3 linked regions of the Ovis aries genome follow. Each later gene encodes a partner of the first gene's protein in a complex. Links are inferred from orthologs where the notes say so. Each region holds a gene or a part of one and is shown in the gene's direction. Other genes may lie near its edges. The genes, in order: DDN, WWC1 and MAGI2.

Region 1 (2,297 bases):
GCCCCAGAGCCGCACGTGAGTGAAGGAGGGGTAAGGGGAAGAGAGAGGTGGGGCAGGGATTGGGGTCCGGACCTTCCCGTGGGCACCAGCCAGAGCTGCCTTCTCTTTTCCACGCCTCCCCCAACCCCATCCGGAAGGTTGGGGTCTGACTCATCCCATTTGTTTGGGGGCACAGGAGTGGGCGTGAGAAAGGGCAGGTGAGATGGGGCAGATACTGTTAAAGTGTGCATGGAGAGATGGTGAGGAGTCCCGCTTCGACTTCAACCCTAACATATACGCACGTGCACACGCGCACACACTCACACACACCCCTCCACCCGGTGGCCCCAAGTGGCCTCCAGCGCTCCCAGCTCCCCGGACCTCGGCTCCCTTCCCCCACAAACTGCTCACCTGGGTTCCTGCTCATTGTCCCAGGTGTGGGCCGCGCCCGGGATCCCCTGAGCCGCCGCCCCGCCGGCCCTGGGCCTCCAGGGTGCTGCAGGAGGCGACCAACTGGCGGGCGGGGCCCCCGGCCGAGGCCCGAGCCCGGGAGCAAGAGAAAAGGAAAGCGGCGTCGCAGGAGCGGGAGGCCAAGGAGACCGAGCGAAAAAGGCGCAAGGCTGGTGGGGCCCGAAGGAGTCCCCCTGGTCGGCCCCGCCCGGAGCCTCGGAACGCCCTTCGGGTGGCCCACTCTGCAGGGCTCCCAGCTCCCTCAAGGCCCGAGCGCCTGGGGTCGGTGGGGCGACCGCCCCGTCCATCCGCGCAGCCGCAGAGCAATCCTGGGGCGGCGTGGGCGGGGCCCTGGGCTGGTCGGCGGCCAGGGCCCCCCAGCTACGAGGCTCACCTGCTGCTGAGAGGCGCTGCCGGGATGGCCCCGCGACGCCGCTGGGACCGGCCGCCACCCTACGTGGCTCCACCTTCTTACGAGGGCCCCCACAGGACCCTGGGGACTAAGCGAGGCCCCGAGCCCTCGCAGGCGCGCGCCTGTTCAACCTCTGCGCCGACTAGGACAGAGGGAGGGTGCGCAAAGAAGAGGCTAGATCCTCGGATCTACCGGGACGTCCTAGGGGCCTGGGGTCTCCGTCAGGGACGGGGTCTCTTGGGGGGATCCCCAGGCTGTGGAACAGACAGGCCAAGGCTGGAGTCCGGTAAGGGGGCCGCGGAGAAAAGCCCGAGGCTGGCTGCTGCTGTCCTGAAGAGTGGTAGCGACGGCCATCCCCAAGATAAAGCCGCTGGGAGCCCAGGCACCGTTCCTGCGGGGTCTGCCACTGCCACCCCCAGCCCCCCGCGTCCCACTCCCAGGTCCAGACCCCATCTCAAGGGCTCCGGGGAAGGGAGGGAAGGGAGAGACCAGACCTGGCTCCCCAAACGCTGGGTTCCCTCCATTAAAAAGCAGCCGCCCCGGCATAGCCAGACCCTTCCCAGACCCTGGGCTCCAGGAGGCACGGGATGGAGAGAGCCCCTGGGTCACAGAGGGGAGGCAGGACCCGAGACCTTGGAGGGTTGGAAGGTGACCCGACGCCCCCACACCCTGCCCCGAAGTTCCCGTGGCCCCACTCGTCGGGAAGGCGTCTTTGTCATTGATGCCACTTGCGTGGTGATACGCTCCCAGTACGTCCCGACCCCTCGAACCCAGCATGTGCAGCTTTTGCCCGCCGGGGTGCCGCGCCTGGTGGGGAATGCCCCCAGCCAACCGAAACCCAATAAAGAGGAGGGAGAGGGGGCCGCGGTCCTTCCTTCCCCTTGCCGAAAGCTGCCATTGAGCAGTCGCCCTTCTCTCCAACCCAGTGAGGGACGCGGGCTCGAAGCTGAGGGCGGGAAGCCCGCGGACTCCTCACTGGAGGAGCGCGCCTCGCGCATCTTGGGGCTCCCGGTTGGCGAAGTAAACCTACGGGATCCCCCCACGCAGCCAGGTAGCCCAGAGCACTCAGCCTTAGGCCCACCGGCTTCGGGGGGAGCGCGCGGTGCCGAGGGATCGGAGAAAGTGGCGTCCGGCCCGCGGCGCACAGGCCGGGGCTGGGCGCGAGCCCCTGGACCCTATGCCGGGGCCCTGCGGGAAGCCGTGTCTCGCATCCGCCGCCACACCGCCCCGGACTCCGACTCAGACGAAGCTGCGGAGCTCAGCGTCCATAGCAGCTCTTCTGATGCGAGCGACACAGAAGCCTCGGGCGCCTCCTGGCGGAAAGAGCGGACCGGGCCCCCGGAAGGCGGGAAGACAGCCGAGCTGACCGGCAATGCCCGAGAGATTGTAGGTGCCATCAGCAAAAACGAGGAGGTCCTCTTCGGGGCGAGGGACATTAAGGGGACTCCACAGGGAA
Region 2 (4,272 bases), on another chromosome or scaffold:
AAATGGCAACCTACTCCAGTTCCCTTGCCTGGAAAATTCCATGGACGGAGGAGCCTGGTAGGCTGTAGTCCATGGGGCTGCAAAGAGTCGGACACGACTCAATGACCTCATGCATGCACAAACACATTGCCCTCATCACTAATGGGAGTATTTTGCACCCAGCGAAGTTGAGGAGTGAGTTGTAGAGGGCTGTGGGAATCTCCCCATAAGAAGCAGTAGGGTGAACTCCTACTTCTAGGTATTCTGAGGCCAGCCTGAGGTCTGTGTTTCTGGACTTTTGTGCATGGCATCTATGGAATGAGGGAGGGAGGGAAAGGTCAAATACTGAGTCAATGGGCCTGGCTTTAGGGAAGTAACTGGCTTAACAGAAGGCATCTGGAGGTGAGGAGATGCCACCATAAGTCTTCTGTACCAAGAGCAGAGGAGACCAGAAACATGGGATTCTCCCCTATGCTCAGCACACTCTGGCCCATACAGCACAGGACACTGGCTCCTCTGGGAGGCTGTGGGACTCAGACAAAGGATACAGCAGGCTGGGCTTCATCCCTGCAGTCCAGCTCCCTGCTATACATCCAGGGCAAAAAAAAAAAAAAAAGTTAAAGACATTCAGGAGACACAGACAGCTGATTAACTGTAATTAAATAATCACAAATTTTTGATTTCTCAAGAAATATTGATTTTTAAAAGTTCTCATTTTTTAAACATGGAATTTTGCTTTGTTTGCTTCCTTCTTTTTCATAACCCCTATCCCCCCAAAGCCATGACAGATCAATTAATATCTCGAAGAGGACAGGTGAAGCTGCCTGGAACAGGTTACATATTCAATTTAATGAACAACAACATCATAACTATTACAAAGGGCCACCTCGACACCCACTGGAGGTCCTTGGGGGCTGAGGGCAGGAGATGGATGCCTAGCACTCTTCACTTTAGGGACCCGGGGAAGAGCCAGTTACACTTGCAAGTACGAGGGGTGGGGGGATGGGTGAAACAACGCGCGGAAAGAATAGAATAAGAGGGAGACAGATGGTGTGTGTGTTGGGGGAAGGGATCAGAGATCCTGGAAAACTTATGTTCCCCTATTTGCAAGAATGTTTCCATTTAACCACTTCTTGCCTGACTCCTGATTCTACAAGAGAGAAGCCGGGAGTTATAAGATTGGGGACACCTGTGCCAAGAACTCGGCCGCTCTGGGTGGAGACAGCCTGGAGCGCCGGGAAGCCGAGGCAGAGCGGGGCTTGCTCGCGCCTCCCGGGGCTCCAGCCTGGGTCCGGGACCCAGGTGAAGGGCGGGCTCCCATTCCTCCCGGCAGGAGCCGCGAAGGGGCGGCCGGCAGTTGGGACTGTCCCACGAGGGGGCGCGTCTCGGGCCCTAGGACCCGCCCTCGCGGCGCTGGGCGCGGGGAGGGGACGCGGGAACCCTGGCGCCCGGCGCTCCGCCTCCAGTTTCCGGGGCAGCGCGGTTACCTGCACAGCCCGAGCCGCACCTGGCGCAGGCAGGAGTCGCAAACCAAGCGAGCGCTGAACGGCGGAGGGAGAGCGGGGACAGCACCCGGCTCGGGGGAGCGAGAGGCGGCGGCGGCGGCGGTGTGGAGGCTGCAGGGCGCCGCGCGCCGCGGAGGAGGACAGGCGGCAGCTGCGCTCGGCTCGCTCTGCCCCGCCGGCCGGGCGCGCACCCGGGCCCGCACCGCGCCGCTGCGGGCGCACATGGCAGCGTGAGAGGCCGGCGGCCGGAGGAGCGGGAGGCGCCGGGCCGGGGCCGCAGGGCCGCATGGACAGCGCCGCCACCCCGGCCGGCCCTCACTAGGGGCCCCCAGCCCGCGGGCGCCACCTTCCCTCCCCACCACCGCGACCATGGTGCCTCGGCGGCCGCCCGAGCCGAGAGAAACCGGCCGGAGCCGCTGAGCCGGGGGGCCCCCGTGGCGGCCGGGAGCTGCATGGGGGAGCGCGGGCCGCGCTCGAGACGATGCCCCGGCCGGAGCTGCCCCTGCCGGAGGGCTGGGAGGAGGCGCGCGACTTCGACGGCAAGGTCTACTACATAGACCACACGAGCCGCACCACCAGCTGGATCGACCCGCGGGACAGGTAGGATTCCGCGTGCACCCTCATCCCGCTCCTGCCCCGGGGGCCACAAGCCGGGACGGGGCGGCGACCCTGGGAGCTCTGCGGGCCTCTTGCGCTGTCTTCCGTGTGCCCCCCACCCCCGTGCCCTTCCGGACCGCCGGCTCCCGCCGGGCGGGCAGCTGGGAGGAGGGGTCGGCCGGTGAGTTGGCCCAGGCTACCCCCTCACCCCGCGCTGTCCTCTGAGGGGGACTCAGCCCCCCGTCGGCACCTGCCGGGAGTTTTGACCTTAAGCTCTAGCCCCGCCTCCCGCCGCTCCCCTCCCCCTTAGTTAGGTCCTGCGGGGGCTGGGGGAGCGATCTAGCCGAGTGATGCTGGGGCTTCCCGGGGAGGCTTTCCCCAGCGGGGGGGGGGGGGAGGGGGGATGGGAAAGCATCTGGTTTGGAGGGGATGGTAGGCACCCAGGACTCAGCGGGAGGCTGCTGGAGGAAGGACACTGTGTCCCGGGGAAGGCAGCCCAGGGTGTGAATTTTGACAGGTGCCTCCCAGGCTCGGAGAGACGGGCGCAGCAGCGTTCTGGAGGCCGGGAGGCCGACAGTGGGAAGGAGAGGAAGGAGCGGGGGAGGGCTGATCGGGGAGACTGGTTCCCCAGGAATCTCACGGCAACTTGGAAGCTGTTAGGATGTAGATGGAGGTGAGAGGCCGCCGCAAAGCCCTGCCCATCGCCTCTTCTCCTCCCCGCCATCCTCTCCTCTGGGGACGGGGGTTCCTCAGTGCTGCACCAGCGCGTCCTGACCTTGGTGGGCACCACGCCGGTTGGAGCACCGGATTTTTTTTTTTTTTTTTTTTTTTTTTGCTGAGGCAGGTGGCGTGTGAGATGGCTGGTGTGGCTCTTAAGCATCCAGACTTTCTCCTGGTTTTGGCTGCTTGGCAATTTTTTTGCACACAGCACCCTCTCTCCATGAATATCCTGGGGGGTGGGGAGGGGGAAGGACCACCCTCTGGGACCGCTGGTTGTCCTTTGCTGTCATCTCTGTGGTCAGTGTCCCAGGAATGCGGAGTTTTCACCTGGTAATTGTGACCTTGGGTGTCAGGTGCTTGTAAAGCAATGAAGCTAAATTGTTTGGCTGGGGTGGGAATGGAGGTTCCAGAAGTCTAGGATGGGGTGTGTAATCAAGATGAGAGTTGAGAAAAAGAAAAAGCAAGAAAGAAAATGTGAGCTGAGATTGCTCATAGTTTCTGTGAGCACTTTGATTCATTCATTCAACATGGACTGGGTGTCCTCTCTGAGTTCAGTACTATGCTGAACGTCTCATCAATTTAATCCGAAAGAGACATTTTTAATGCTGAAGAGCTCAGGTCCCACGGGCAAGCTGCTTTAACTTCTGAGCCTCAGTTTGCCTGTTTGTCAGACAAATGATTTGCTTGGAAGGGCAAGGGTGATAGTGGAACTCTTGAAAGTGGAAGGGATATGGAAGGTCAGGGCCCAGCTCCCATTTTCAAACATGAGACAAACTTTGAGATCCGGAGGTAGGATGTGCTTGGGGATTTTGATCTTCTCACCACTCTACCTTTTGCCAAATTCTCTGCCTGCTCTGAAGTTCTAGCCTCCACAGTCCCTTGTCCTCGCCTAAAACAGACACAAGTTCAAGTTTGTGTGTCCTCCCCCATTTTAGGTCCCAGCAGCTACGGGGCCCAGTGTGCTGTCAGCAGTTGAGTGTAGAGGGCATTGCTAACTCACCCCAGATCCTGAATCTGGGAACTTCTCTGGGGCACTGAGAGGATAACACAGCTGCAGAAATCTGCTTAAGGAGCGGTCATTCATTACCCTTGGAAGAGGGCAAGCAGTATAGCTTCCATGGAAAACTGACTTGGCTACGGCATAATTTCCCGAATTTCAGTATTATGTAGACCACCTTTTTTGCTGTATCACCTGTGTTATTGCTGACTTAATACTTGACACTGAATCAACCCAATCTGAATTTTTTTTAGCCACTTTTGCAAATGGGAAACTAGCAATATCTATTGCTCCAAAGAGAAAGGAACCTTTAAAAAGTACAGTGGAAGGGGGGAAAAGGTGCCTTTCTGTTTGAACTCACTCCTGTGGCCAGTCCACGGCTCCAGCAACAGGCCTCCGCAGCCTGTGTTTTTAGGCAGATTGGCAAGCAATGGAGAGGAATTAAAAAGATAACTGGCGCTTAAGGAACTGCTC
Region 3 (4,135 bases), on another chromosome or scaffold:
CTTTTTTTTTTTTAAGTATCATTTGAAAGTAAAGCAAATGGAACTCATTTATCAGTTACAGGAATTTTAAAAATCACTCCTAACATCTCACACAAAATTAGCCTTTGAGTAAAAATCAGCGGCCCTCCTGCATCCTGGCGCCCCGGACGTCACCTCACCTCCCGGCTGCAAACTTGCTGAAGGTAAAGAAGCCTGGTGGCGGACCAGCGAGCTGAGTTTCAGCCCCGGTTCTGTCGCTCTGGTCGCCCTCCGAACCTTCTCCTTTAGTGTAGCAGGAGGTGGTCTCCTCAGGGCAGCTTAGGGTTTCCCCTCTTCCCAGCCCGGCTGTGAGGGCGCGCGCGACGAGGGCGTGCCCCGCGGTCTCGCCGCAGATCCCGCGTGAAACTGCCCAGTTCTCTGAGGAGGCTGCTCACCGCGGCTGCCCCCACCCCACTGCTTCCCGCTTCTTCCAACTTGGAAAAGTGAAGCCCCTGCCCCGCGGTGCCTGGAATGCCTTTCACCAGACAACCCTCCGCTAAGTTCCCTTCTGCACCCGAGGTACGGGCGCTGACAGGAAAACCAGCCTGCAGTTCTAACTTTACTCTCCTCTGAGAGGAATTCTGAGAACTTTGAGACGGGTCTGACTGAAACGTGGGAGACGAAGCCTGTCTAATTAGTGAACTCCGACGCCTCCACCTGGCCCGCAGCGCCCAGGCCTCCTCCTGGGCGAGGGCACGCCGGGCGGGTCCCACAGCTCTGCCCTTTCTCATGCCGGGATCGGACGCCCGGAGGCTCGCGGCGCCACCAGCCACAGCGTCCGGCACTGAGTCAGGGCATCCTCACAGCGCAGCAGCCTAGCGCTGCGTTCGGCCGCCGGGAGGCTGAAGAAAGGTCCGCGCTGGGCTCGCAGCCCTTCCTGCCGGCCTCCCCACGCCGGGCCTCGGCTCCCCTCCTTTCCCGCTCCCGCCTCCTCTCGTAGGCTGCCAGGCGGACCCAGCCTGCCTCTCTCTCAGCCTTCACTACCGGGTCAAGCTGCGGAGGGGGGTGGGGGGGTGAGCGGAGACAGCAGTAAGCGGCTCCCCACCCGGCGCGCGCGCGCCCCTCCTCCCCGCTCTAGTCCGCTCCCTCCTCAGCGGCGCTAAGCCTCCTCCCCTGCTGCCAGTACAGTACAAGTCGGCCGCGCGCGCGAGGGCGCGAGCGCGCGCGGACCCTGCCACTGCCACTGCAGCTACCATGGATATCAGCTAACAACACACACTCAGGCGCGCGCGCGCTCCCACTCGCACCACGCAGGAGTGGCCCCCGGCATCCCTACTCTCCTTCCCCACCCCCACTCCACCCGCTCACCAGCTCGGCTACTGCTCGCTCAGGCTGCCGCTGCCGCCGCCGCCGCCGCCACCACCACAGCTCTCCTCTGCTGCGGGGCCACAGCCTTGAGTGTCATTCAAGGGACAGCACAACCTCACCCAAGCTCTCCTACCTCTGCCCAGCCGTCCCTGTCATCCTCCCCCTTCCTCGACCACACTCCATCCAAAGAAGAGGGAAAGCACCGAACAGAGAGGGGAGGAAGGCAAAGTCTGCTCTCCTCACCTCTTGGCCCCCTGGCTCCTCCAGCCTCATTCTCTCAGCACCAACTCCCCTACCCCAAAGGAATCCCTCAGGAGCTGAGGCGACTCACCCCACTGCCATGTCCAAAAGCTTGAAAAAGAAAAGCCACTGGACGAGCAAAGTCCATGAGAGTGTCATTGGCAGGAACCCGGAGGGTCAGCTGGGTTTTGAACTGAAGGGGGGCGCCGAGAATGGACAGTTCCCCTACCTGGGAGAGGTGAAGCCGGGCAAGGTGGCCTATGAGAGCGGAAGCAAGTTGGTGTCTGAGGAACTGCTGTTGGAAGTGAACGAGACCCCCGTGGCGGGGCTCACCATCAGGGACGTGCTGGCCGTGATCAAACACTGCAAGGACCCCCTCCGGCTCAAGTGTGTCAAGCAAGGTAAGCGCAGCGGCTGGCTCGGTGCTTTACCAGGAGGCTGGACCGCTCCAGACGCCGGGGCATCATGGAAGGGTGGGCTCGCGTGTGGAAGGGGGTGTGTTGCGCGACAGTGGGGTGAGGTCGATCGAGAACCGGCAGAGCAAGTGAGCTTTGCCGGGGCTCAGAATGGGGGGCTCAGTGGGAGGGAGGGGCGGTTGCGGTGCAGCGTGCAACTTTGTTTGCGCAGTTACCACCTCCCGTTTGGTAGGTGTTCGGCCTTGTCTGACCTCGGCGGTGCCGGCGAGCTCCCAGGGCAATTGAATGTGCGTCAGCCGCATGGCCCGCAATGGATGAAGAGCTTTTAGGGAAGGAAAGAAGGCAGAAACGAAAAAGGAGGGCAGGAGAGAGAGGAAGGAACAACTCGAGGGTGCAGCGGCATCACCAGCAGGGCCGGTAGGAGTAGGGGGTGACGGGGCAAACGGAGACCGGCGCCCTCCGTTTCGGTAGCTGTACTGAAGACACCTTGGGGATCCCTGAGCCACTAATTGACAAAGAAGGGAAGGGGCAGGTTGCTTCGGGCGCGTTGACGGGTCTGCCTTAACTTTTTCCCTGCCTCGCTCCTCTGTCCCCCTCCCCCGCCCACGGTCGTGTCATGTGGGCACCGCGCGTCACGTGCGCACTGACTAACTCGGGAGCTCACCCCGAGCCGGCCCGCGGGAGGCGGCTCGCGAGGAAGGCGCGGCGCTAGCTGCGGGTTCTAGAGTTGGAGGTCGGAGGAGAGACGTGGTTACCGGAATGTTCTTTACTATGGGGTTGTCTTCATGAGTGGAAGTTCTCTATGGTCGGACTCCCCTCTGGCTTCGGATTTGGGCAGGGGCAGGGGCGGGAGGCGTGTTTCTAAGGAGGAACTGGATGAAAAAGCCTTCTGGTTTCGACTGAGGATCCGGTCAGCTCCAACCTGGTTTAGATGAGCCTCCGCTGAAGGCTGTGATGGGATCCTGCAGAGTTCTCGCAACTGTCTTTGCCTATAGGAAAATGCTGGTCCTGAAGTAGAGAAGAGAGATAAAAGTTTCTTGGAAAGAGGACAACTTTAGCTGGAATAAAATAGTGTATCTTCATTTTCCACATCATAAGTTTTGTAGCTCATATTCATAATTCTGTGTGACATGTATGTATATGCGTCACAAATCGAAAGATTTGTTGTTGGTGACACATTGTTCGGATTCAAAGATGGAATTGAGCATGTCATTGCCTGCATGACAATATCTCTTAGGGAGATATTCTTGTCTATAAACCAGTTTTAAAAGTAAGTCAGTGAAAAATGAAACCTCAGGCAAAATTTCTTAAATGTAAACTGCCATACAAAAAAGTTTTAATTGGGGATTCTTGAGTGTTAGTGACTGATGACTTGAGATAGGCTAATGTGAACATTGACTTCTTTGTCAGGCCACAGAGTTAAATACGGTATGAACCTGAAGAATGTGTTTGGTAGGAAGGCAAATAGAATATCTTACTGTTTTCCAAGATGACATACCAGAGGCTCGAATATAGGCATTAATGTTAGCGTATTTGATGTCATGATACTATTTTATAGTAATAGATATAAATGTGAAGTTCTGGTTTTGAATCCAGAAGTCTATGTCACAATTAATGACCATGGTTTTATTGACAACAAGGTTGGTATTTGTAGTGGAAAATGGCTGCCAACTTTAAGATATTGTTATTAATAAATTGGACTAATGATTGTAGCCTAATGAGGGAAGTGTTTATCCCACTGTAGTTTGTAATTATGACCACATTTTAATGTACTCATTCTGAGCACACTATTTTGAGATGAACCTTCACAGGCTGTTGCTCTAGCAGCTAGAAAAGAAAGAAAGGGAGATTTTGGGGGTATTGTCAATCTATTCTATAAAATCCAGTGGAAAGACTTTAACTTGGAAAAGTGAAGGCATGAAAGCTATCATTAAATACTATCCTATGATTATGTATAGGGCAAAAATAAGACAAATCTGTGGAAATTTTTAAAGGATGAAGCATTTTACTTTTATTAAGATGATTTTAACAGAGCTTTAAAAAAATCTGTTAACTATACTGTGAACTCATTAGCTCCCATAATTGTGAGTGTTTATAGAGGCCAGTGACCACATACCATGGATTCCTATGTAAGATGGGTACCTGGACTAGAT

Evidence for each region.
Region 2: the proteins of DDN (region 1) and WWC1 are in contact, whole or in part, in a crystal structure (PDB 6J69), measured with the Mus musculus proteins. The link is inferred for Ovis aries from reciprocal best matches to the Homo sapiens genes DDN and WWC1. Residues at the interface, in NP_001013763.1 of Mus musculus: Tyr227, Val228, Ala229, Pro230, Pro231, Ser232, Tyr233, His237, Arg238, Thr239; in NP_740749.1 of Mus musculus: Glu13, Glu14, Ala15, Arg16, Asp17, Tyr23, Ile25, Asp26, His27, Arg30, Thr31, Thr32, Ser33, Trp34.
Region 3: the proteins of DDN (region 1) and MAGI2 are in contact, whole or in part, in a crystal structure (PDB 6KKG), measured with the Mus musculus proteins. The link is inferred for Ovis aries from reciprocal best matches to the Homo sapiens genes DDN and MAGI2. Residues at the interface, in NP_001013763.1 of Mus musculus: Asp222, Arg223, Pro224, Pro225, Pro226, Tyr227, Val228, Ala229, Pro230, Pro231, Ser232, Tyr233, His237, Arg238, Thr239, Leu240, Gly241; in NP_001164217.1 of Mus musculus: Glu308, Met309, Ala310, Tyr311, Thr312, Glu313, Gly315, Tyr318, Ile320, Asp321, His322, Lys325, Thr326, Thr327, Ser328, Trp329, Asp358, Tyr361, Tyr364, Val366, Asp367, His368, Arg371, Arg372, Thr373, Gln374, Phe375.

Annotation. Positions count from the first base shown.
Region 1 is NC_056056.1:137,226,926-137,229,222, forward strand, and holds part of DDN (dendrin), read left to right. Parts: coding exon 1-15; intron 16-414; coding exon 415-2,297. UniProt on the Homo sapiens protein: Promotes apoptosis of kidney glomerular podocytes. Podocytes are highly specialized cells essential to the ultrafiltration of blood, resulting in the extraction of urine and the retention of protein.
Region 2 is NC_056058.1:77,912,215-77,916,486, forward strand, and holds the start of WWC1 (protein KIBRA), read left to right. Parts: upstream 1-1,443; 5' UTR 1,444-1,965; coding exon 1,966-2,084; intron 2,085-4,272. UniProt on the Homo sapiens protein: Regulator of the Hippo signaling pathway, also known as the Salvador-Warts-Hippo (SWH) pathway.
Region 3 is NC_056057.1:43,278,111-43,282,245, forward strand, and holds the start of MAGI2 (membrane-associated guanylate kinase, WW and PDZ domain-containing protein 2), read left to right. Parts: upstream 1-1,194; 5' UTR 1,195-1,666; coding exon 1,667-1,967; intron 1,968-4,135. UniProt on the Homo sapiens protein: Seems to act as a scaffold molecule at synaptic junctions by assembling neurotransmitter receptors and cell adhesion proteins. Plays a role in nerve growth factor (NGF)-induced recruitment of RAPGEF2 to late endosomes and neurite outgrowth.